Drosophila melanogaster: one gene and its partner. The protein of the gene in region 1 purifies or fractionates together with the protein of each later gene. This does not show direct contact. Each region holds a gene or a part of one and is shown on either strand. Other genes may lie near its edges. The genes, in order: tai and ab.

Evidence for each region.
Region 2: the proteins of tai (region 1) and ab purify together in Drosophila melanogaster (affinity purification with western blotting, with the first as the bait; one study listed by BioGRID). This does not show direct contact.

What each region holds. Positions count from the first base shown.
Region 1 is NT_033779.5:9,161,131-9,173,901, forward strand, and holds the start of tai (taiman), read left to right. Parts: upstream 1-5,647; 5' UTR 5,648-6,308; intron 6,309-12,771. Other genes in the region: CG32982 (uncharacterized protein), read left to right, coding at 1-138, 255-882, 946-1,578, 2,011-2,033; CG13108 (uncharacterized protein), read left to right, coding at 3,218-3,718, 3,890-4,090; CG9586 (uncharacterized protein), read right to left, coding at 4,470-4,742, 4,813-5,034, 5,093-5,254.
Region 2 is NT_033779.5:11,206,411-11,218,872, reverse strand, and holds the start of ab (abrupt), read right to left. Parts: upstream 8,196-12,462; 5' UTR 8,126-8,195; exon of another isoform or gene 8,100-8,125; intron 7,106-8,099; 5' UTR 6,910-7,105; intron 1-6,909. UniProt on the Drosophila melanogaster protein: Expression is vital for development; may be involved in transcriptional regulation. In embryos, muscle specific expression is required for segmental nerve b (SNb) motoneuron target recognition within ventral longitudinal muscles.

The DNA of each region.
Region 1 (12,771 bases):
GTCAAGCTGGTGGACGTGGAGAAGGTGGAGTGGCTGAATCGGCGCTCCTACAGCGCCATTGGTCTGCTACTGGGTCGCGAGGGTCGTGTTCTACTCCGCTGCGATGATGGCCTCGAGGATTGGTTCGAGCTGCTGGAGGTGAGTGGCCATGAATTGGATAAATAGCATAACTAACTTGGTTCAGAATTAGACATAATGGATCCACATAGAATTAAACCCAATCAGTATAACTAAACATTCGCTATCCTCTTTAGGAATGCACAATGACCTCCAAGGAGCGCAGACGAGCCCTGAAGATTGCCCAAGGACCCAGATCCCGAGCCTCATTGGCTGCTCCCGTTTCGCATGCTTCGCTGCAGTTCCAGCATTTTGGACTCGGAGGCACTTACTCGAGTGCCCTGGACGATTGGCTGATGACGAATGGAACCGGTGGTCTGGCCCGGCACAAGATTGGAGCTGGCAGTCTGAACGGTTATGGCGGGGCCAATCCCTTCCTGTTCTCCGATTCGGTGCCGGATCTGAGTGCCCTGAACAACGAAAACCACAATCATCACCTGAGCGGCATCAGCACGAACCACTCGACGCCGCAAAAGATACCGCACCACAGCAATGCGAATCTCAGTCGATACTCCAATGGATATGTCTCGGCCCAGAACAGTTTCACCCAAGCCGGAGCACTCTACGGATCGCCTAGGCGGATCTTTATCAACAGCAGCTTCGGTTCCAATCAGGTGGTGGATGAGGAGACCGAGGAGACGGAGGTTCAGCTGAGGAGACCCAGACTGTTCCGGGGAGTTAGCGCTACTCCGGATAATGGCAACGAACTGGACCGCGATTGGCTGTACCGGAAGCCAAGGGCGCCCACTGATATGAGGCACTCAGGTGGGTTTCAACCTTTGCTTTGAATGAATATGATATTAATATTTGCTTATTTATTATATTTAGTTCAACCAATGTTACCCACTGGCGGCGGCAGCAACATCGGGCTGGCCAAAACCGAACTGGACTGTTCGGCCCATGATAGTGGCCTGGACACGCCCCCATCGACGCACCGCCCCTCGAGCTACCGGGAGGCGAGCAGGGACAGCACAGAGACCAATGGCAGTTCGTCGAGGGGAACACTGCTGAATAACTCATCGCCAGGCGGCAGTTTTCGAGCCAAAAAGCTGAGCACCCAAGTAAGCAATCTCAATCAGTTGAATTCCCTGAACGGATCGAGATACTCGGTGCAGGATCAACGCATCTTGAAGATGCGCAACAACGAGGAGGATCGCTGTGCCTCCATCAAGATGGCCAATCGTCTCAATCAGAATCAGGAGCAGGCCACTTACGATCCCAACCAGAATCGCTACTATAAGAACGGTAATGCCACGCCCCCCACATCACTGACGCCACAGCATACGCCGCAGCACAAACTGACGATGATGCACTATGGCAATGGGAATGGGAACATGGGCACCCTGAATGGCAACACCAACGGATCGGATCGCATAAACGGATCGGCCATTTTCCGGGAGCGCTACCAACATCCCGCCCTGGCCGCCATCATCAACGAAGCCCAGGGCCTTAAGTTTCGAGGTAGGTTTGAGGATTTATACGGTTTTGCTTGCATTACTCATCGTTCATCTGGCATGGTTATGGGCTGGCTTTAGGATCATATTTGGATTGGTTTCGGAAAACGTAATATGCTGGAATGCTCCATTAATTAGTTAAGATAGTTTTGTACCATTTTTAGTTTTAATGCATTTCATTATTACTTATATTTTTATTTTTTACTTTTATTCGTTTATATGTTTTTAGCTTTAAGTAGTTTCATTCTTAATAATGTTTCAAAGTGTTTATTATTTAAACCCATCTTAAAGGGGATGATTAGGATTTTTTTGAATTGTATAAAGTTTTCTCTTTCAAATAAATCATCCTCACTCCATTTTATCATTTGTTATCAAAAACAACACCCTTAAACCTACTTATAATGTAAACTTTTTACTTTTGCATGTTATCAATATAAAGAAGAATCAGAAAATATGTGGTAAACATACCCAAAGCCCCAAATTGTGCATGTTACACAAAGTGTCCAGCCGACTGGCCCCATAGTGCATGAGAAGATCGTGATGTTGAATGGACCAAAAGATATAGATAAAGCGATCCTTTCCCCAACTTGTAGAGCGGGCCTATTCGGACAGTCAGCAGCGTCGCCTCAACAACAACAATGGACCGACTCCCCAACCAGCCTCGCCACTCGCCCAGCGCCGGAATAATGGTGGACTCGGATCCGGAGTCGGATCGGGGGCTATATATGGCACGCCCACGCGTGTATAGCGCCTAAAGGTCTAAAGATAATCCAAATCGATGGAGAATTGATTGCTCCCCCACTAGTTTAATAATGATATAAATTAGTCGGTAAATTAGTCGACTTGATACAAAGTTTTGGAAATTATTTGCATAGAAAATACTTCAACGAAGGTAGAGAATAGTAACTAAATCTTAACTATGTAGTAGTACTCGTAGTGTGTGTGCTCCAATGTCCAGCTTTATGTAAATGTTTAAATAAAATATACATTAGTAAAAAGCATCTTAATAAAAGATAAAATAAAACTGGCTACTATTATTGGGAAGAATGGGTTTAAATATATGGAGAATATTTCTAATTGGCCTATGTTTGCCATAAACTGTTGAATGGTAAGTTAGGTGTTCATTGTAATTACGAAATGATTGAAGCGAGAATAATTTTTATACAAGAACCGCTCAATATTTGAGTACCAGAAAAAACAACTGTTGATTAAAAATGAATTCATTTCGGAAAGATGCAAAACGATGCTGAGCTTTGACCTAATTTAGGCGTGGTCTGAAGATGCAGAGATCAAGCTTCTTGGGATTTGGCGAAAAGCTTTCAGGATTTGCTGCAGGACTCCTTTCGATTAAGCTCGCTTTCGGAAAACTTTTCGGAAATGTCTTATAAAAGATGCAACACTAAAAAGCTCGCCAGCGCAAAAGCTTCAGCCGAAAGAGAGGACAAGCTGCAACCCCTTAAAGGATAATTCTGGGAGACCCCCTTGTGCGGGCAATGGAATGGGCTTTTCGGAGTCAACAATAAAATTTTCAGTCAGCTTTGAGACGCAGCAGCCACAGCAGCAGCAAAAGCAGCAGCAGCAGCCGCTGCAGGATTTAGCGGTCGGTTCAACCAGGAGCAGCAGGAGTAGAGAATTTTCGCGTCAGAATGCGAAGTCGCACGGAACTGGTGACCACCACTTTCGAGGAGAGCGACGAGGATGATTTCAGTCCGGACGATTCCGACTCCGAGGAGGACTGGCGACCCACCAAGAAACGTCCGTCCAAGCCATCTGGCTCCGATGGCGGCAGGAAGCGGAAATCGGCGGCAGCCAATGCCTCGAAGGCCAAGCGCCGGATGGCCAAGGTGAGCGACGAGGAGTCCGACGAAGAGGATGACCTAGAAACCGATCCCAGCGACGACGACTTTGACTACCCGTCGGCCAGCACTTCAAAGCGACCCCAGAGTCTGCCGCCCAAGAAGCAATTTGTTAAGTTAAGCCAACTGGATTTGCTGGTAAAAAAGTCTGATCTTATGGAAAACGACTGGCTAAAGAACAATCGCTTGTGTCTGTGGCGCAAAGATGAACAAACGAATCTGCTTCAGAAGTATCTGCGGGTCAAGTCGGCTGCCGAGGAGGAGGAGCTGCTCTTTACCTCCAGTTCTGTAGTGAGTGGATTATTTGTATGACAATGGTGGTCACATACATGATATACCAATGTATACTTAATCAATTCAAGTTATTTGCATCAATGTGATAATTTCAATATACCTCCTGTGACCTCCTGTGTTTATAAATAATTATCAATAAGCATTCTATTAATATACTTAATTTTGCAGTATTCCAGTTGGGATGATCAGCAGACGAGCGACTTCATAGAGGTCAAAGTCAACTGCTTGGATCCCAACAACAGACGTATTAAACTGCACGATCTGGAGGCGATTAAGAAAATCTCCGTGGAACTACAATCAGAGCGAAATAAGAAAACGACATCGGACAAAGAAGATACTTTGGAGGCGGAGGAGGATAAGCAAAATTAAGCTGATTCTTAAAAAAAAAACAACTACTAATTATACACAAAACTAACATTTTCATTAGTATTTACAACTAGTTGGCCAAGTTAGGGTTAAACAACAAATTTCCTTGTAACAGCTATGTGAAAACAGCATTAAATTTAATTTAGAAAATTAAAGAAACTAAGAAAAAAAAAGGAAATCAAAAGGAAAACATTTGAAAATATCAAATTAAAATCTTGGCGTTTCAATTTTAATACATTTATATTCAACAGTTCGGTAGATCTCTTCAAAGTTTACTTCGCTTTAGGCAAACATGCAAACATTCAAGCGAAATGCACTTTGTACAGATTTGTTGTTTGTTGTTTTTAATAGAAAGAGTCTAAAAATATTCGCTTGGGGACGGTTATCGACGCCGTTCGCCTTTGACGGTTTTGCGTTTCTCCTTCTTTTCCTCGCGCAGTTGCTTTTGCTTTTCCCGATCCTCTTTGTCCTTTTGCTTTTTGGCCGCACTATCCATTCGGGCCTGCTCCCGCTTTTCCTTGGCTAGCGCCTGGACATCCGATTTGTTGGTATTCTTGGTGAGCGTTCCACTGTCATCCTCGCTTTCCGCCTCGGAATTCTCGTCGTCCTCGTTGGCAACGGCAGTCTGCAAAAAGATTGGCATTGTCATTAGATACTAGATACTTCTACTTTAAAGCTAGTAATAGATATCTGGAATCAGCAGCTTGGCCAGCATGGATAGCAACCTGGGAGTATTGAGCTAGAATCTGCTGCTTGATGCGACGCTCCTCTTCGGTGTATTCACGCTCCTTGTTTACGGCGGGTTGCAGCTTCTGTTGCTCCAGCAACTTGGCCAACTGGGCATTCACATCGATATCCAGACCTTTTTTCGGCGGATCATCGGCGCTGGGATGGCTCTGTAGCCACTTTTGTAGTATGGTGGCCACCAGTTCGTCAATGTTGGCGGACTGCAAAGATCACGGACCATAATTTATGTAGGCAATGATATTACTAACCATAACTTACACCTGTTTCGCTGAGAATTCCCTCGAGAGCCTCGGTTTTTTCATCTGTCGTTTCGTCGCCCTCCAAAATTCCAATAATATACGAACCGAAAACGTTCTCGTCGGTGTTCAATTTGCGCAGCTGCTCGTTGAGCCAGCTCTGGAAGTCATCCGTGGCGCTCATGGTTACTCGGTATTTGATTTAAATATCATGTATAGAGGATTTTATTTGCGGAATAAACTCTGGCAGTGACAAATCAGCCGCAAAAGGCAACAAAAAAATTTGTGGAGCATGTGGCGCAGTGTTGGTGAGCGTTGACAGCGGAACAGCTGCTGCAGTAGCACTGCCAACTGACTGGAAAAAGAAAGTTTAACAGAAAATACAATCATTTTACTGAAATAGAATTTTTAGAAATAGAATATTATATATATTAGGTAAATTCACAAGTTTATTAATTGGTCTTTCTATTTTAATAATTATTATTTACATTAATATTTTCCAAACTTGTTGCTGGCAACACTGACACCTGAACACTACTGTTAGCCAACTGTTAACTACCAGCGAACAGCTGTTGCCGCAGTGTTGGTAAATACCCGCACACCTTTTAGTTGTTTGCCGATTAAAAAATTACGCTTTTTGTTTGAAAACGAAATATTAACTGCTGTGCTATTGAAACTCTGTCAGAATTAAAAGATATTCTATCTGGCCTGCCATCTCTTATTGTCATACAACAAGAAGTCTTGTGACACAGCTAAAGGCGTGAAATGGATCAATTAAACTTATAAACAAATTGTTTGTTTCTTTTGACTGAAATACTTGTACGGTTTTGTGCGTAAATGTGCGCTCGTGTGTGTGTGTGTGTTACCTATGCGTTCGTGTGTGTTTGGTGATTTTCTGATAACTCACATCGCAGCAAACAGCGAAAGCAAAAGCAACAATAACAAATTGCAGCAACAACGTCACACGTCTGCGACACCTGCGTCGCTGTCGCCAAAGTTGTGTTGTTATTTTTACTGTTGCTGCTGTCGCCGCTGTCGTCGCCATCGGCTTTTGTTTATTTGTTGTTGCGTCGCGTCGTAAAGAAGGAAAAGCGCCCACACACACACACAACACACACACAATCGCGCGTGTGCCGTTGGCAACAAGTGGAATATATACAAACGAAATTCATACAACCCCATGTTAGTGCGTGATTTACAAGAGGCAGAGAGAAATCCCTTCGATAAGTTAACCTGAGGTTAGTGATATCCATCGGAAAATACATACATATGTACAATCATACATATGTATGTATGTATGCCAGTTGTGGCAGGTCTGCGATTTCATAAATTGATTGATTGTCAAAATAAGACGTGCTAATTGATAACGATATCATATATAAAACCATCTCCTAAGAATATTTTTTTTCGAAAATAAGTAAAATTAGTTATTGCCTTAGGATTTACATATATTTATGTGTTAGGCATGTGTTATAAATTATTCATTAATTACAAAAACAAATAAATTATATAAAATTAAGATGATACATTTTTGAGATACCTTTATGTTTGCGCACTTTTGAAGTGCTTTGGAGTTGCCTGTGTGATCTCTGGCTCCCCTCCTGCCAACATTGAGTTGGCTCCTGCCACATTCTTGGCATCCTGCCGCCCACAAGGACCTCCGCCCACTTTGCTCCTTCGCCTATCGACTTGCGGCGGCCGCAACCCGAGTTGTGTTGACTGTTTTTTTTTAATGAGCCAGGTTTGTTTATGGGCTTGTTAATGTGAGTGTTTTACACTTTCCAATCCGTGTGCATATTCATGCGAGCGCTCCTCGGCGAACGCCTCTGTGTTTGTGGTATGCATAATAAAGGCCATTAAAATTAAGTAATTGACGCTGGCAGCGAGCAGACGACACCAGAAGGGGGAGGGGGGAAGGCAGGCGGTCTTGACTGATTCAGCGGCAGCGGAAAGGTGAAAACCGGAAAAATGAAAAGCACGGCAAAACGAAGAATGTTTCGGCCTAAAATGTACATACATATATAAAACCTCAGCTTTTCGTCATCTATCTCGCTCTGTTGCGTACAATTCGCGCTCTCTCTTTCCCAAAATGCAGAATTCGTCATTAAATTGGAGACCCATTTAAGTTTCAGCGAGCTCATAAAATTCACACGTTTCATTGCTTGCGATTTTGCAATAAAGCACAGTGGGATCAAATACCATAAAACTAAAAAAAAAAATTAATATAAAATGTTTGAACCGTTAATGCTGTTATGTTTGTATATAATATACAAAAATACTCATTACTTTCCTTGCCTTTCATGTTTTTGAATTCATTGTTATTTCCTTTTTAGGCCCACTGTGCGCATTCTTCTTTTGGGGGTTCCTTGTGTTTTACGGCTCTTTTCAACTGCCAGTTGGTAGTTGGTGGACACGCCCTCGCCCATAAGAATTTCTTGTTCGCTGGTTTATGGCAGATTTGCTCGATGGCTCTGCTTTTGGCCCGCTGCAGTGGGCCAAAGTCATGGCCCTAATTGTGGGAATGAATTAAATTGATTTCCATATCATAAACCCAGGCTTGCGGCCAGGCAATCAAATGGAAAACGCAACAAGTCAATGGCAGAAACAAAAAAAAAACAATTTGGCAGGGAATTTATATGTGAAGCTGCACTTCACATAGCAAAATCAATTCAACAACGTGGGGTGGTTGGTCTTTTCGAGGATGCCACGGGGCGCTTATCCTGCAAAGTGCTTTCCATTCTTGTGGCTCGTGGAATTTTCCAGGACCACCCACAGTGAAAGCGAGAGCTAATTCCGTATGGAGTGGCGATGGCTGCTTGGTGGGGCGTGTGGCTGTGATCTCTATAATACCATTGCTTATTTAGTTTGCCGCTGGTTCCGTGTTGTGTGACTGAAAACATATGCGTGCTTTTTGTATTTCGAATTTAAGTATTTAGTATTTGCTGCATGCGCTTTAAATTAAGGTGAGCTATGGAAAAATGTGAAAATTTATCTGATCATTGAATTTTTAATAAGAAAAAAGAGGCGGCATGTATTGATGGAAACTGTACTGTATGCCATACAAATTTGTTATTATTTCTTTATTATTCAAGTGAGTTGCTAACACTTATTCAAAATGAAGTTCTTCTCATTTTGCTGCAATTCCTCAAAAGATTAACTTAAATAACAACCATGAAGTATATATATTCTTATTTCACGAGAATTCATTAAAATATCTTTCCAAACTATAGAGCTGTGATAAGGGTTTTCTGTTATCTTAAGGAATCTATCTGTTACATTCCATTTGATTTTCGTCTCCTGAAGGGTTCATCTCTTCCAGTTGGGATGCTAAGTAGCTCCCTGGGTTTCCAAACCCAGCCCATTTGCCCCGGAGGACATCGCCTGGCACTCAGTAATGTGATTGGAAAGGCTTCGTCGGCTTGGGCTGCCAGTTGGATACCACGATGGTAGGTGGTAGGGGGGATCACCATGGGCGGTTGATGGATTCCATTCACTGTGCCCTCTCGTATCCACTTAACTATTTCGTTGGATTGGGGCACGTTGTTGTTGCTACAGCAGCTGCCGCTGCCGCTGACATTTTCATTTTGCTACAGTAGGGCTACTGTTTTTCCCGCTGTCGCTTTTCCTTGTGCGCTGTATCATTGCCATGTCGTTGACAAATTGTCTAGATGAATGGAAGTGTGGGTTCGATCCCTGGGATCCTGGATAACTAACTGAAAGTGGGAGATGGAGATGTAGAGCGGAGCCCTTAAATGTGTGTCAATAAATGTGTGTTAAAATTGCCGTTAGGCAGTAGGGTCATGGTGATATATGTATAAGGTTGCGAACAAGCAAGACTCCTGTTGCGCCCAACAATCGCAGGCGGTGGTCACCGCCTGCTCCTTTGGATTCGCTTGTTCCGCGACCAGATGGCTGGCAAACAATTTTCAATTAAGCGCACAATCACGATAAATAAATCTCATTGTGCAAAAAGCCAGTTCATCTACACGAGCTTAGCTTAACTTGGCTTTTCTCCCGATGTACAGCAATTTTCTGCGGTTTTTCTTTACCGTGGGCGGTGGGAGGCGTGCTGCCTGCAATAAAACTCCACCCAGGTAGCGACTTCATTGCAATCTTCACAAGCTTTTCCTCCAGCGATGCTAACACGCTTTTGCTTCTAACTGATGGCTAATGCTCTGCACACAAGCGGGTTTGTCGGTTTTAGCCAATGGAGTTGGTTGGTTGGTAACCCATGAATCATACAATTAATTACTGGCTTATGGTGTGAATTCGCATAAATTAAATCCACATTTGCACAAGAGGTGAATGCAATTAAATGAAATCAAACTGAATAATTGTATTGTATGGAAAGGTTTTCTTAAAAATTAAATATGCATTTTAGTACCATTTTGAAAGACAAACAGTCAAAGAAATTTTTATTATATATTTGAATATACGAAACAGCAATAATAAATCATTAATACATGTCTTGGCATTAGTTTTTGGCATACCGATAAGTGCATTTGAAATTCGCTTTGTTTTAGCCATTTCCCCTTCTTGTTTACGTTTTATTTCCTAGCCATAAATTCTGCGGTTAAAATGGCAAGTATTGAGAGAAATTGAGAGAAGCGAAGCGTTAGTGAGCAATATGTTTTTATAATGCTTGGATCTCAATTTATGGGCTAGCCCACAAATATTCATCTAAACCGATTGTTGCGTGTGGTCCAAATTGACAAAATACAAGCGCACATAATGCTATAAACCAGCGGTATAAATAAATAAAAAAAAATAAGAAGAAAATGCAAGCAAATTTAATCAAGCGAAATTTAACAAGATTTCCGTGAAGCGACTGCCGTTTCCTCTCAACCCGCCGCATCTTTCCCATCCAATGGATAGAAGCTGCTCATCCCCGGCCACAAATTAAGCAAAATCTTATACACCCCCTCCGGATTTCAGATCCTCATAGCTGGCCCTATCAAAATATAAAGCCAGCCGTGAACCAAACTTGATTTCGCTGCAGGAACATATCTTATAAAGTAAATAATAAATCAGCGACGAGACATTATATACATATATATGAAAATGAAAGAAGTGTACATAATGCCGGGAGATTCGCACACATGCTTTTCGGGGATTGAGATGCTGAAAAGAGGCTCCTAAAACCTACCCATAGAAGATTTAGTGGCTTCGTCTTTTGGCTCTCGTTGCTTAGGTAGCACAAAAAGGAAGTAAACAGGATTTGAGCTTTACCGGGAATCTTTTCTTTCTTATTTTCGTGTTTTTTGGATATATATATATAATTTTTTTTTTTGGTTTTTGTGTCGTGTTGCCTGTGTTTGTTGTGTCTTTAACCTCTCGGACATTAGGTACCAAATAGTTTGATATTTGGGGCTCTTCTTCTCCCTTTCGTTTAGGATGTGTCTTAGCTGTGCCTTCGCTGGTATTTACTTAAGGAAATTCGATATATTTAAATATGTATATTATTTTATGGTGTCTTTTCTGCTGCTGTTGGCGCTCCTCGCCCGGTGGTTCTCTTAATAAATTCTGTGAATTTTAATAAATGATAAGACTCGTGTAATTTGAAGACATTGTACATAATTTCTGTCATTTTTTTTCGCCCACCGATTATGTGCTTATGTGTGAGAAAATTTTTAGAAGATTGGTTTTATATATATTAATGTGTATTATTTTGTTTTATATACAAGAGTCAGTCACTTGATGCCCTCGTTTCGGAGAATTTATTAGCACTAAAATTGGTTTATAAAGTGTTTTTCACAAGCGGAAACCTTAAACTTTATTTATTCGGGTAAAGAACATGATAGAAATAAAGCTATTATTATTATTATTATTAATATTTGTTGTAGCCTAGCATAAGTGATTTTCTTGAAGCCAACTTAAATTGAAGCTCTCTTGCCTGCTTTTATTATGCCCTGTTAAACCATTTTGAATTTATAATCACATAGATACGAGAAAAAAGGCAATTTCCATAGGGGTGGCATTCCGCATTTGATCAATTATTCATTAAAATGCACTTTGGGCTCGGTTTTTATGGGCATTTCCTATTTACACCTATCGTGTTGCTTTCGGTTTTCATTTGCCAGCCATCCATGCTTTTCTGCACAAGTGAGCAATTATTTGTGCAACATAATTAAAATTTTATTAATTCATAAACAAATGCGCAGAAGAGAGCGTACACAACTGGGATCCAAAAAGGGGGAAGGACTCCACATTGCAGTTGCCTTTCAGCACTTCATCAACGCCAAATGTTGCTGCACTTGCTGCTGTTGTTTCCTCTGCATCATTCATAAAAAATGCCATAAATGCAGACAGAGCAACAACATCAGCACGTAGAGTAGCCTCACCTCACCTCTTCAGGTGCGAATTTGCCACTCAACCCTTCATCCCTGCCCCACCTGCCCCTCCCTTCCCATCGGCCACCCAAAAGCCGCCTTATCCATCGGCCTCGTCACCTTGTCAATTTTACATGTAGAGCACGTGTCGCTGCTCGTGCTCAGTTGTTGCTGTTGCTGTTGCACTTGCTGCTGGCAATGGGTATTTCTTGCTCGACTCTAATTAAAGAGCTCTTCAGTGGAGCTCCTTGAACCTGCAACACCAACAAATGAGTAACTGCCATATAGAAACTTTTAATTTGAAATGAAAAAACCAGCAAAATATATATAGAAAATATAAAAAGAAACGCTAAAGTCGATAATCTCGACTATAAGATACTCGTTAATTGTGTAAAGAGCGACAAAAATTAAAATTAAAAAAATTTAGAATTTATAATTGTGAAATTTCGATACGGACAAACATACGGACAGTATGGACACTCGGATATAGCTATATGTATCAATAATAATTCATATTTAATGATAGTACTTTTTTAGTAATAGGTATAACGACTACCTCGACTATCAGATACCTGTTACGTAGCAAAGTTTCTAGCATGCACTTTTACTCCACAAATTAAAAGTACAAGACGACATAAATACGCTTTTTCTATCTTTCACGGTTGCAACACCTGTCGAATTGTGGACATCAGCATAAAATAGAATCCAAATAAAACAGAGCCGGAGGAAATATATATATAGTATATGAATATATTAAATATAAAGCTCGCTGCGAGAGCAGACACAGAGAAAACCCAGCAAAAAAAAGAAAATAAAAACAGCGAACACCGCAAATACGAGCCAGAAGAAATGCACACAGCACAATATTAAACAAACGGCACGAACAAAATATTAACAAAATATAACTCTCGAAAATACGTGAAAAAAAAGGATAGAAAGTCGAAACAAAGCCATGTGTGCTGAAACTTAGACAAATACGAATTTAAGCAAATAGAGCGAGATTCAATATTTACTAAATGCCAAATGGAATTTTCTGTCAGCACGAATTTGATACGCGTGTGGGAAACAATCGTTTGAATAAATAACAAAAAATAATTACATTTGACATTTGAAATTCTAGATTAAAACAACGTTTAATTGAAGAAAAGAAATATTGAAAAAAAAGTGAAGTCTGCTCCACTTTAAAACTGACATTTTAGTTACCTTAAATGTCTTGTTTGATTATTATACACATGTATTTGTAAGTATGTGTCGATTTTTGCCATCTAATATCCATGAAAAAGTCCGTTCAATGTTTTCCGCAAACAAATTCAAGGCAAAGGCCCTGGCAAACAAACAATCAAAAAATAGAAACACAATCATTTTCGCATGA
Region 2 (12,462 bases), 2.0 Mb from region 1:
GAAAATTGCATTTGATAATACTAAACACACGGACAGCACACAGTTAAAGTCGCCAACATATAGAAATCGTTTTTCTTTTTTAGGTCGTGGGCTGGGCCGAAACAAGAAGGTAAAATAACCTAAACCTAAATTCGGCATTCCACAGTCTTCGGGTGGAGACGTGTTTCTTTCAAGCTACGAATAGCAAGTTCTAAAAACTACAACAGTATAGTGAAAGTTAAACACAAAGTGTAAAGTGCAGTTTGCACAACTAACAATTATTGACTATAGTAATTATTTACTAAAATAAATAATTATTCCATATTGTTCTGGTAATTGTTATATGTGGACTTAGAACAATGAATCAAAACGACATACGTTCTCAGCGACAATGTGAACAAGACGAGCGCCGGCTCTCTTTACAACGCAACAATGCATACTTTTCTTTCGTCTCACCGCAAATCGGTGATCGAGCACCCTCACCTTCAACTAACTCGAAACTTTTGCCCTCAGCGAACGACAGACCGCGTTCTTGCTCTCCCTCTCTGCCTGCTTCGGCTCACAAGTCGTGGAGCGAAGAGACCGCCTCTCCTACCCCGCTCCTCTCGCAGCGCCAAACGACCGTCCCGGGTAACTGTAACACTGCAATAACGAGTGCAGTGACCTCACTGGCAACTGCCACAACATCAACTTCGTCAGCGGCCCAACTAATTATCGCTGTGCCAGCTGTAAATAATTCAGCAGCACTGACCGTTTGCAACAACAATAATGCACGTAAAGAAGAATCAAAACAAAAGCAGAAGTCGATTTCGACTGTGCAGACTGGCATGGATCGCTACATCCAAATCAAGAGAAAGCTCAGCCCTCAAAACAATAAGGCAGGTAATCAACCCAAAATCAATCGAACCAACAACGGCAATGAAAACTCTGCAGTAAATAATTCAAACCGATATGCTATCTTGGCTGATTCTGCGACCGAACAACCCAACGAAAAAACGGTAGGGGAACCAAAAAAGACCAGGCCTCCACCAATTTTCATACGAGAACAAAGTACAAATGCACTTGTAAATAAACTCGTTGCTTTGATTGGTGACAGCAAGTTCCACATTATCCCACTTAAAAAAGGAAATATTCATGAAATAAAACTACAGATCCAAACAGAAGCAGACCACCGTATAGTGACTAAATACCTAAATGATGCTGGTAAAAACTACTACACATACCAATTAAAAAGTTGCAAAGGGCTACAGGTAGTACTTAAGGGCATTGAAGCAACAGTGACACCAGCTGAGATAATTGAGGCTCTGAAGGCCAAAAACTTTTCTGCAAAGACAGCTATTAATATTTTAAACAAAGACAAAGTTCCGCAGCCACTATTCAAAATAGAACTCGAACCAGAGCTCCAGGCACTAAAGAAAAACGAAGTGCACCCAATATACAATTTACAGTACTTGCTACATCGGAGGATCACCGTGGAGGAGCCGCACAAACGTATCAATCCAGTTCAATGTACTAATTGCCAAGAATACGGCCACACCAAGGCATACTGCACCCTTAAGTCCGTATGTGTTGTCTGTAGCGAACCTCATACTACCGCAAACTGCCCCAAAAACAAGGACGATAAGTCTGTGAAGAAATGCAGTAACTGCGGGGAAAAACATACTGCAAACTACAGAGGTTGTGTGGTGTACAAAGAATTGAAGAGCCGCCTAAACAAACGTATTGCCACAGCACATACATACAACAAAGTCAATTTCTACTCTCCGCAACCGATTTTTCAACCACCCCTAACTGTCCCAAGCACTACTCCAACAATTTCTTTCGCTAGCGCCCTAAAATCCGGACTAGAAGTGCCCGCCCCACCGACAAGAACTGCTCACTCCGAACATACACCGACAAACATCCAACAAACACAACAAAGTGGCATCGAAGCTATGATGCTATCCCTACAGCAAAGCATGAAAGACTTCATGACGTTCATGCAAAATACTTTGCAAGAGCTCATGAAAAACCAAAATATCCTGATTCAACTTCTTGTATCTTCAAAATCCCCATAATGGCTTCCCTACGGATATCTCTGTGGAACGCAAATGGCGTTTCACGGCATACACAAGAGCTCACACAGTTCATTTACGAAAAAAACATCGACGTAATGCTACTATCAAATCCCTCTACCAACACATTTATTCTCCCTCCTTTAATAGCAGCCAATCTAGATCCTCAAGAACCCTTTGAATTCCGACCATGTGAACTAGCAAAGGTTATCAAAGAGCAACTGAACCCAAGAAAATCGCCTGGCTACGACCTAATAACTCCAAGAATGCTCATTGAACTCCCAAAGTGTGCTATTCTTCACATCTGCCTGTTGTTCAACGCAATCGCCAAGCTTGGATACTTCCCTCAAAAATGGAAAAAGTCGACCATAGTAATGATTCCAAAGCCAGGAAAAGATAAAACGCAGCCATCATCATATAGACCGATAAGCTTACTAACATGTCTTTCAAAGCTGTTTGAAAAAATGCTACTCCTTCGGATTAGCCCTCATCTTAGAATAAACAACACACTTCCAACACATCAATTTGGCTTTAGAGAAAAACATGGAACCATCGAACAGGTCAACCGAATCACGTCAGAAATTCGTACTGCTTTTGAACATCGAGAATACTGCACAGCCATTTTTCTAGACGTCGCGCAGGCATTTGACAGAGTGTGGCTCGATGGACTTTTGTTTAAAATAATCAAGCTGTTGCCCCAAAACACACATAAGCTACTGAAGTCATACCTATATAACAGAGTGTTTGCAATAAGATGCGATACAAGCACTTCACGCGATTGCGCAATCGAAGCTGGAGTGCCGCAAGGCAGTGTACTGGGTCCAATCTTATACACCCTGTATACGGCGGATTTCCCCATAGACTACAATCTAACAACCTCCACGTTCGCTGATGATACCGCGATACTCAGTCGCTCGAAATGCCCAATAAAAGCCACGGCACTCCTATCCCGACACTTAACATCTGTAGAACGATGGCTTGCCGACTGGAGAATTTCAATAAATGTTCAAAAATGCAAGCAGGTTACCTTTACCTTAAACAAACAAACATGCCCACCACTGGTCTTGAATAACATATGCATTCCACAAGCCGACGAGGTAACATATCTGGGAGTTCATCTGGACAGGCGGCTCACTTGGCGCAAACATATAGAAGCCAAATCTAAACATCTTAAACTTAAAGCAAGGAACCTCCACTGGCTCATAAATGCTCGCTCTCCACTTAGTCTGGAGTTCAAAGCTCTTCTATACAACTCCGTCTTAAAACCTATCTGGACTTATGGCTCCGAGCTGTGGGGCAACGCATCCAGAAGTAACATAGACATTATTCAGCGAGCACAGTCAAGAATTCTGAGAATTATCACTGGAGCGCCGTGGTACCTTCGGAACGAAAACATACACAGAGACCTAAAAATCAAATTAGTAATCGAAGTAATAGCTGAGAAAAAAACGAAGTATAACGAAAAGCTGACCACCCATACAAATCCCCTCGCAAGAAAACTAATCCGAGTATGCAGTCAAAGCCGGCTGCACCGCAACGACCTCCCAGCCCAGCAATAAACTTATTAGGGCATTAATGAAAAAAAAAAACTATCACTAAGTGAAAGTTAATTAAGTTAGATTAAGATTTGAACACTTATTGTTAGTCTCTTAACACAAAGGGAAGATTCAATAAATAATAAAAATTAAAAAAAAAAAAAAAAAAAAAAAAAAAATAGAATATTTCATATCTAGTTGCGATTCAAATTATTTAAAACTAACCAAAATCCTAGAGTATCGAACTTAATAACTGTAACTGTATCTTTTACCTTTTTTTCATAGTTAATTAAAAGGACAGCCAGTTCGTACACTTTAGCGACTGTCCACTGTGACAGCAGCTTCAAACTTCGAATGTTTACGTTGGCTTACGTTCTCAATTGGTGTCGTTAGGAGTTCTCGAAGAAGAAGTGCAAATATTTTGATGAGAATATTTCTCCAAATCGATGCGATGCAGCTATGTACATATGTATATTCCGCTTAAGTCCCATGCTCCTGCAATAATATTTTCGAAGGATCTTTTTGTTTGATGATTTACATGGCAGGTAGCATTGAGAAAGTGCCACATCATTTTCATTTTCGCTGCACTTTTCGTGCACTTTGTGAGCGATTTACTGATTTTTGTGATTTTGTGCCAACTCATGCGGCAATCGCGATACTTTGGGCCAAGGCGCCGCCGTCGGCGAGTGAGAAAGGCGAACGTTGGAATCGAATGGCTTGGCCAGGTCCTTAGAGTCCTTTCTCCACATTCCTTTGTTTCTTGGCCCGCTTCACTTCTTTATTCTCGAGCGGAACTTCAATTACACATTTGCTCACATGCGAAAAAGTGAAAAGTCACTGGCCTGTCATGGGCCAGAAATCCAAATCTCATCTACCGACGGCATTTCTTTTTGGACCTCTCACACCCAAATCTCCACCCATCATTGAGTATCTCGGCATTTGGGCCACTTGGAAATCTCCTTTTTTTATGCCCTGCTCCTTTACATTTGATTGGAATTGTTGTCGTTTTGGTTGCGGGTCCTTGGCTAATGGCGACTGAGCATTTTATACCCTTTTTCGCAGGCAATAAAAACATTTTCTTTTTTGGCCACAAAATAATGAATAATATGAAGAAAAATACTTGCCGCAGCCGCGTTCGTTTTTTTTTTCCTTCTTCTGGAAAACAGAAAACGCATTAAGTGCGCGGTTTCCATTGTTTATAACATTTTTGCCACCCCAGAGAAGGAGGCAAAGGGATAATTAAGAATGCTTATTTATCTAGAACGCAGTCACGGCGCCGATTGTCCAGCTTCCTTCCACTTTTTTTTCATCTGACCGCAGGGGGGCAGAAACCCCATGAAAAGGTTCGTAAAAAGCCAAAAAACTTTTATTTTTTATGATAAATTATATGGAGTGTGGGGCAAAAGGATGCGGAGAAGACGGCGCCAACCAAAGGTCATTCGAAAACTGGGCAGGAAAAAAGTGAGAACCGAGGCTGAAGAATGATTTGAGACATAATGAAATAAAGCAGAATTTTAGAGAGAAGATGACGGCCAAAATGTACTTATATTCTGCACTTTTTCATACAATCTAAGCTAAGAGCAAAAGGTTATTGCACAGAATATAATTACAGAACTGAAGTAATGAAATAAGCTCTCAAACTCTGTGAGCAAATTTGTTAAGCTATGCGTTAAGTTTTAAAATAGTAATTATGGAATAAGAAAAATTTGTAAGCAACTAATAGGAGGTTCTTTATGCGAGTATTTGAATATGTAATGACTTTTTTGAATTCTAAATTGATTCCTGCTTACCTAATCATGCTTTAGGCCCTCAAACTAAAGTCAAAGGTCACCTGTTCTTGGACATTTACCAAACACTCGCAAGTGTTCAACCTAAAAATGGGTTTTCGGCCTGTGCCGCAGATTTTCTCCGCTAATTAGCCGGGCCGAAAGTTGGCGAGTTGAAAATTACCCAACACAAAAAAAATCTAAGAAACGGAGCTGGAGAATCGATGCCGGTGGGCAGCAGCAAAAGCAGCAGCGCACACGCAAATCACTTGTTTTTATGTAATTAACTGCTCAGCCCCCCAGAAAAGGCCATCGAAGTTTCTTCGCCGGAGGTTAACGGAGATTTGGCCGGGTAATTAACCAAAAACCGATCGCTTCTTGCCGCGTCTAAAGTCGAAGTTTTTGGCATAATTTCCAAGTCCGACGATTTGCGTTTTCGGCTTGTAAAAAAATCTCTTTCTGGTATTGGCTTCTTTTGGCCGTTCAATGACCGATAAAATTGCCTCAACCATCGCGACCAACTCGACCGACTCCATCGATGCCTTTTAGCGGGCTATTGATTATTAATATTTTCTATTTTTCCCTCTCTTTGTGTCTTTTTTCTGGTTAGTTGTTCCCAAACCCCTTTTTTTTAACCATTTGCTGTAATTACAGCGACGCGTTAATTGTTCGCCCCCTTGACCCTTTTGTTTCCCAGCATCCCCGGGTTTCCACATCTACGTATTTGTGTTTGTTTTCAACGGGCCGGTGAAAAATAAAAACAACACTCGCCCAGGCGAGGAATCTACACTTACGCGATGGTGTTTGGTGTTGGGTATCGCAGACCCCCGACTCCGAGACTAAATCCAAAAATTCAGTCGAGAGTCAGGTTCATTAGCTGCTATTACCATTATTGGCCATAACACACAACACTACCTACCTATGGGTGCCACAGCACTACTGCCTCCAAAAAAGTTGGCAATTACTGCACACGAAAATTCCCCCGAAAACGTTTTCCCTAAGTTGCAAGATTCATTTATCAAATCGCAAGAGGACACCAACTATTCGGGTCTGTCTTCAAGAGCAGCAGACCAATCAAGAAAGCGTGTAACACCAAAAAATACATAATTTTCTTAGATTCACACATTTTGGCCAACTAGTTTAAAGACAATTCCAAATGCTGACGCCTTTTGTGAGCCCGATTTTGTAAGCCATTAACTTCGGTTTACGATCACTGAGAGAGATCGCAAACAAAGATCGCGGTCATAAAACATTTGTTAACCTAATTCAATTTATGTAAAACAAAATCATGACATATAAAGTTATAAAAGTCTAGGGAAGCGAGAAAGTTCTATTTTACTACGATTTTAATGTGATCTAGTTAAACAGCTTAAACGATTTGATTCTCGTTTGGTTTCGTTTCCAGAATATTAGTTACATTAAATTTAAGTAAATCAATAACTTAAAATTCATATACTGTCAGAAAACAAACATTGGAACTAACCCCAAAGACTTCAACGATCAAATTCCCTGTTAAAAAGTTGCCATCCAAGCAGATTCGTACATACATTTCCAAGAATCAGTTTTAAAACTTACCGTTTGCACTGTTGATTTCTTAATCTTCTTTTTGAAAATTCACGATGATTGCTGAATTTGTTGTTGTGATGCCACAATTGTAAAATTTGAACACTTTTGAAACACTGAGGGTTATTTTCTTTGGGTATTTCCCTTTATGAATTTGTTTTCTTTAAAGCCGATTTTGAATTTAGTTTGATTTTTCAACACTGCACAACTGCAATCACAATAAGAACAAAATGAATGAGAATCGCTGGCAAATCAGAGAGCATTTTCCTGGGTTTTCCGAGAAGCGGAAAACAAACGAAACGAAGTAGAAGAAAAACGCCACAAGAATAAGAAGAAGACGAAGAAGCCGTCGCGCTGCACTTGCGATTTTTGTTGTTTTTGTTTTTTGTTTCGTGCGCTCTTTTTCGCAGCGAGTTTCGTGTTCTGGTTTTATTTTCTCTGATTCTGATTGCGATTGTGAATCTGGTTCTGTGTGAATTTCGTTTTTATTAATAAAATGCACAACTTCCGTTATTAATTTTGCAACGACAACAATTGCTGCGTGTGTGTGTGTGTGTGAGTGTTTGTGTGTTTGTTTGCGGATTTGTGACAGCCGCTGACAGGCGAAAAGCAAAAGCAACAAAGTGACAAGCATGAGCGTGTGTCGCCTAGGAGGAAAAGCGGAAAAGCAAACCGAAAAATAATAACAACAAAAAGTGGGCGACAAACGGGCGGTGGGCGGCAATCGAACGGTACAACCTGTCCGCTTTTTTACAACCGCCCCCACTTCCCCCGTTTTCTTCAACGATTTCGCTCCTGTGCACGCGACTCGCGCTATCTCGCTCTTTTGTTGCGGTTTTTTTTCTGCCTGTTAGCTGCATTCATTCATAAAAATCGGGTTGTAAAAAAAGAACAGCGGCAGCAGAAAAAAACGTCGCTGATTTTATTTATTTATGCCAATTTGCCGACGCGTCGCCGCTGCAGTTCTTGTTGTTTATAGTTTCGCACTAGGAACGGAAGTTTCTTGGATTTATTTCGAAAACAGTTAACAGCACCAAGTTTATTCGTTCCAATTCGGGTTTATATGCATTTTAATAGTTTTTCGTTTTTAATTTATTTTTATTTTATATTACAGTTCTTTGTTTTCTTTAGTTATGTTATGGTTTGTATTTATTTAGTTGAGAAGTTCAAATTCAGTTGTCTCTGTGTTTCTGATAGTTTACTAAGCCATCAAAACACTGAAAATCACATATAAGCCAAATTAGCCGCACTTGAACCACGACACTTGCTGCCCGTCTGATTTCTGAAATTGTACTGCGCGTAATAAGAATTCCTGTTTTCGTAAGCGGTAAGTAAAATCCGACGCACTCTTCGTCGGCTCCACGTTCGATGTTCGAAGTTCGACGTTCGATGCTCGTCGTTTGACGTTCGACGGCGAACATGTTGCATGCAGCGCGTCGGTGGTTTCTCACTCGTTTTTTTTTAGCCCCATCCTCCTCCAACTGGCCAACACACTCACAGACACACACACACACACACACACTGGCGCACAAGGGGGCTATTATCTAAGCCATACAATCAGATTGTGTTTACTTTTCCAACCGGGCAAAGTGGCAAGGTGAAGACTGCAGAGAGCCCGAGAAGAAAGAAAGACGGACGGCCGACCAATTGAATTGCAGAATTGCCAGCGCTTTCTTGGCCAAAAGTTTTCGGTAGAAGAGAGCAGCCCGAGTTTTTGATTCATTGGGTGTTAAGTGCGATAAAATGTGCGCTCTCTGATAAATTATAGTTTCCATAAATAAAGTAGCATTTCATCGAATTAAGTTATTTCTCAGTCTGAAAAGGAAATGTAAAATGTAAGTTTAAGTACAAAAATAAATATAAAAATGAACTAACCCTAATTTTTGAATTAAAATATACTTTAATTTACTTTAACTTTACTTACAAAAATGTGGACCAAATAAGAAAACAAACTAAGACACAAGCATAACTTTAGTCATTGGAATGCACTGTAGTTGTGAGACGGATTTCAATAAATCATTTGACCTTATTTGAAATTGTAATTAAAATGACGCAGCTAAGGAAAAACGTTCAAATGTGCAAATTACTAAATTTTCTAAACGGATGTCTAAACGAATGAATGTACACAGATATTTGTCCAATAATAGTGTAATTTAACAATAAGGCTAAAGATACATGAATATACTTAATATGATGTATTTTCCCTAACCATACTTTCCTTAGATATGCGGAGCTTTATGGTAGAATAATAATTCAAAAAAAGGAAGACAGTTCCGTGGAGAACTGGAACCGCACCTTAATCTTGCCCTCCTCCGATTTCTCGCAGTAGCCGCCCCTGCAGGAAGTCATTAAGCTGCCTGAGGCTGGAATAAATAAAGTTTGTCTCCCACTTCGGCAGACGCTAAAGCTATGAGGTGCCACCCCTCGGCAGATGCAACTTTATTAAAGTCGACAAAAACAAAATAAATTTACGTGTAAAAACACTCCAAATGGCAGAACACCGAAATTGTCGCCGCACCACCAAACATCCCAACGATCCACAAATGCACAGAGTTTCGGATGCAACGATCTGTAGATGCAGCTACAGCTTCCCAAAAAGGGAGCGCAAGTTGGTGGCATGCGGCAGCTAATGTATCTAATAGATACACGACAGCACGTCAAGCGCTTCCATTGGAGCGAGGTATGAAATTGGTTGGGCGGAGGAAAGTTCCATACCCAAACTCAATGGGTATATAATCTTGCACTATAAGAAAGAATCTAGAAAATTTTTCAATGTTTAAGAATTCTTCTGCAATTCTGTGTTAACTACTCATAATATATCTTGTTAATTGTTATATATAGCTAACAATTCTTGCCTTTTAGGATATCAAAATGTATTTCATAATTAAAAGATTTCCACTACTTTATCTCAGTGTAGCGGGGCTGAATTTCTCATTCTTCGCTTCACTTCGCTCCACCTTAGTTTTATGTTTGGCCCCACCTCCGCTGCATTCTCTTCGCTTCTCGTGCTTCTCTAATTAACATTGGGATTGTAGTACGCTTTTAATTTATATCTTATTGATGCCGGCGACATTTGTATTTATTTTTACCCACAAGCACCCCCCCCCCCCTCCACTCTTCCAGGGGCAAGAATGGGTGGTGGTGGTGTGTAGGTACTGTCCAAAATTCACTTCCCAAATCTGTTTCTTCACCGCCCCACCGCATCCCATCTAGTTGTGTGTGTACGTGTGGAATGTTATTTTTATCGAGAGTGAGTGAAAAAATTGTGGAAACCTAAAATTTATATGGAATAGGTGTCGCCGCGTCTTTATATTTTGGGTATAATTATTGTTAATATTTGTTGCTGCCTCCGCCCCTGACAGCCCCCCGCTCGTTCACTTCTTCTCTGCTCGTCTCTTTTTCCTTTGTTGTTGTTATTTTTTATCTATACTCTAATTAAAATATTCGGATGTATGCGCTTAATATATGTCTGTGCTCATATATGTATATATATAAATATAAGCATGTACATATATTTTAATGCCACGATCTGTCTAAATAATCTCGTACGCATTTCAATGGTCGAACAAAAATTGCTTGGAAAAAATGAAACTAATAAGAACAACAACAGTTGAATTCGTGGGTGGTTCAAGTTTATTTTTAATAAAAAGAATCAGTATTTTCAGGTTGCTTTTAATGGATTCTGTTTATGACATTTGTGTGATTTTGATATTATTTTAGTGGTGCATGTATATAAAAGCTGTGTTGGTCCATTGCTCACATTCTGCGTATGTACATATTTTAATTTAGTTCCACAAATAATACAATACAATTATTAAATGAAATATCTTTAAATATTTCAATATCCTCTGATTTGTCCAAAGTAAATAACGAACCAAGAGTGTTTTCTCTACAAATAAATACAAAACTATCTAATTTCTATGCGTTAATGTTTTCCTTGTTAACAGTGATATATAATTGATCAATAATTATTCAGTATCCACTTATTTTTCATCTCAGATTCCTCTGTTCTGCCTTCAATGGAGTCATCCAAGTTGGGTACTCCAATGCCTAATAGGGGGATATATCAGCCATGGAATGAAGACGCCGATCTGTTGCACACGAGGCAAATGACATTTCATTTATCTTGCAGCTCGTGCAGCAATTTCAAGCGGGTTTTCCTGGAGTTTCCCCAACGGATTAGTGGGTCGGGGAGTGGGGGGGGCTTAGCAGTTGCGTTGGCGACCAGCATTCGATGTCAGCGGATGAGTTATTGACACTCGAAGCTGCGTCCCATAAAGCTCTCAGTTCCGGTGATCTCGGGCTGAGTTATCAATGTGAAAAATAGAAACATGATTATGAAATTATCAAAAGAAATGCGTGTACGTGAAAAATTGGTTGGGGGAGGCAAAACGCCGAGCAGCAGAAGGTGTGAGTGAGGCGGGAATTGAGAGCCATCTTCGGATGGGTGGCGCTTTCGTTTTGCTTGAGTTTACCCCACAGTCTTAGATTGGATGGAATTTGTAGACCCAACGGTAGCATAATTAAATTCAACAACTTAAACTATCACTGTATAATGGTTGCGATTTGGTAAACACCCTGGAAAACAAAATTCAGCTATAAGTATTTGGATTTACTGAGCTAAAACAACATTGTTTGAAAAGAAAGCCTTACCACTTAGATCCTTTATCCTAAAAATTTATAAAATCCTATGCAATATCCATTTCCTTTTTTTTTAAATTTATATTTATACTACTTAAGTATTCATTATTTGTAGAGGTAAACTATCTATCTAGTAACCACCATCTGTAATTTAGGAGCATTCCGTTCATTTGAGCCCCAGCAATCTTAGCCTGCCTACACACACACACGCGACCTTCCATCTCTCTCTTCCACATTGTTGCCCTCCTTTTCTATCGAACGTGTGTGGACAATAGAAATGATCAAGGTAAATATGACTGTACATATGTACATACATTCGTTTATTTGTACCGCTCAACTCACCTTGCGGCGCACGAATTAAGACCCGAAAGAGCGAGAGAAAGATCGAGAGAGTGTTTCCATCGGTTTGGTTTTTTTGAAGATGATACACGAACCATGAATTTAATTATGATAAAGAAAAAACAATTTTATAGCCAACAAAAACACGCAAATAAAGGCTTATAAGAGTATTAGTACTGGTCAGCGTGGTGTATTTGTATTCGTGTGGGTACAACCTAGGTTATTATGTAAAATAAGTTGGAAAGCGTCTGGATAAATGGGTACTTTGCTGTGTATGAGTGAGTAGTATTCGATGGTGTGTGCTTTATATGCATGAAATATAAGTTGGTCGGCCATCGCAGTCTATGGATTAAGTGCCGTTGGCTCTATTACTCTCCACATTGAAAATCCAAAATGGCGGCGATCGCGATCGCATTGCACAAGGTACAGTTGCCTCCGAGCTTAGAGGGCATAACCGCATAAAACCGACTTGAATACGTATTACGCAGTCTGTGAAGACGTGGTTTTTGAAATTTCGAATTACTGCTGCCGGTTTTATCCATCCGAAACGAGATGTAAATTAGGATGCTATGTAAATTTCCGTTT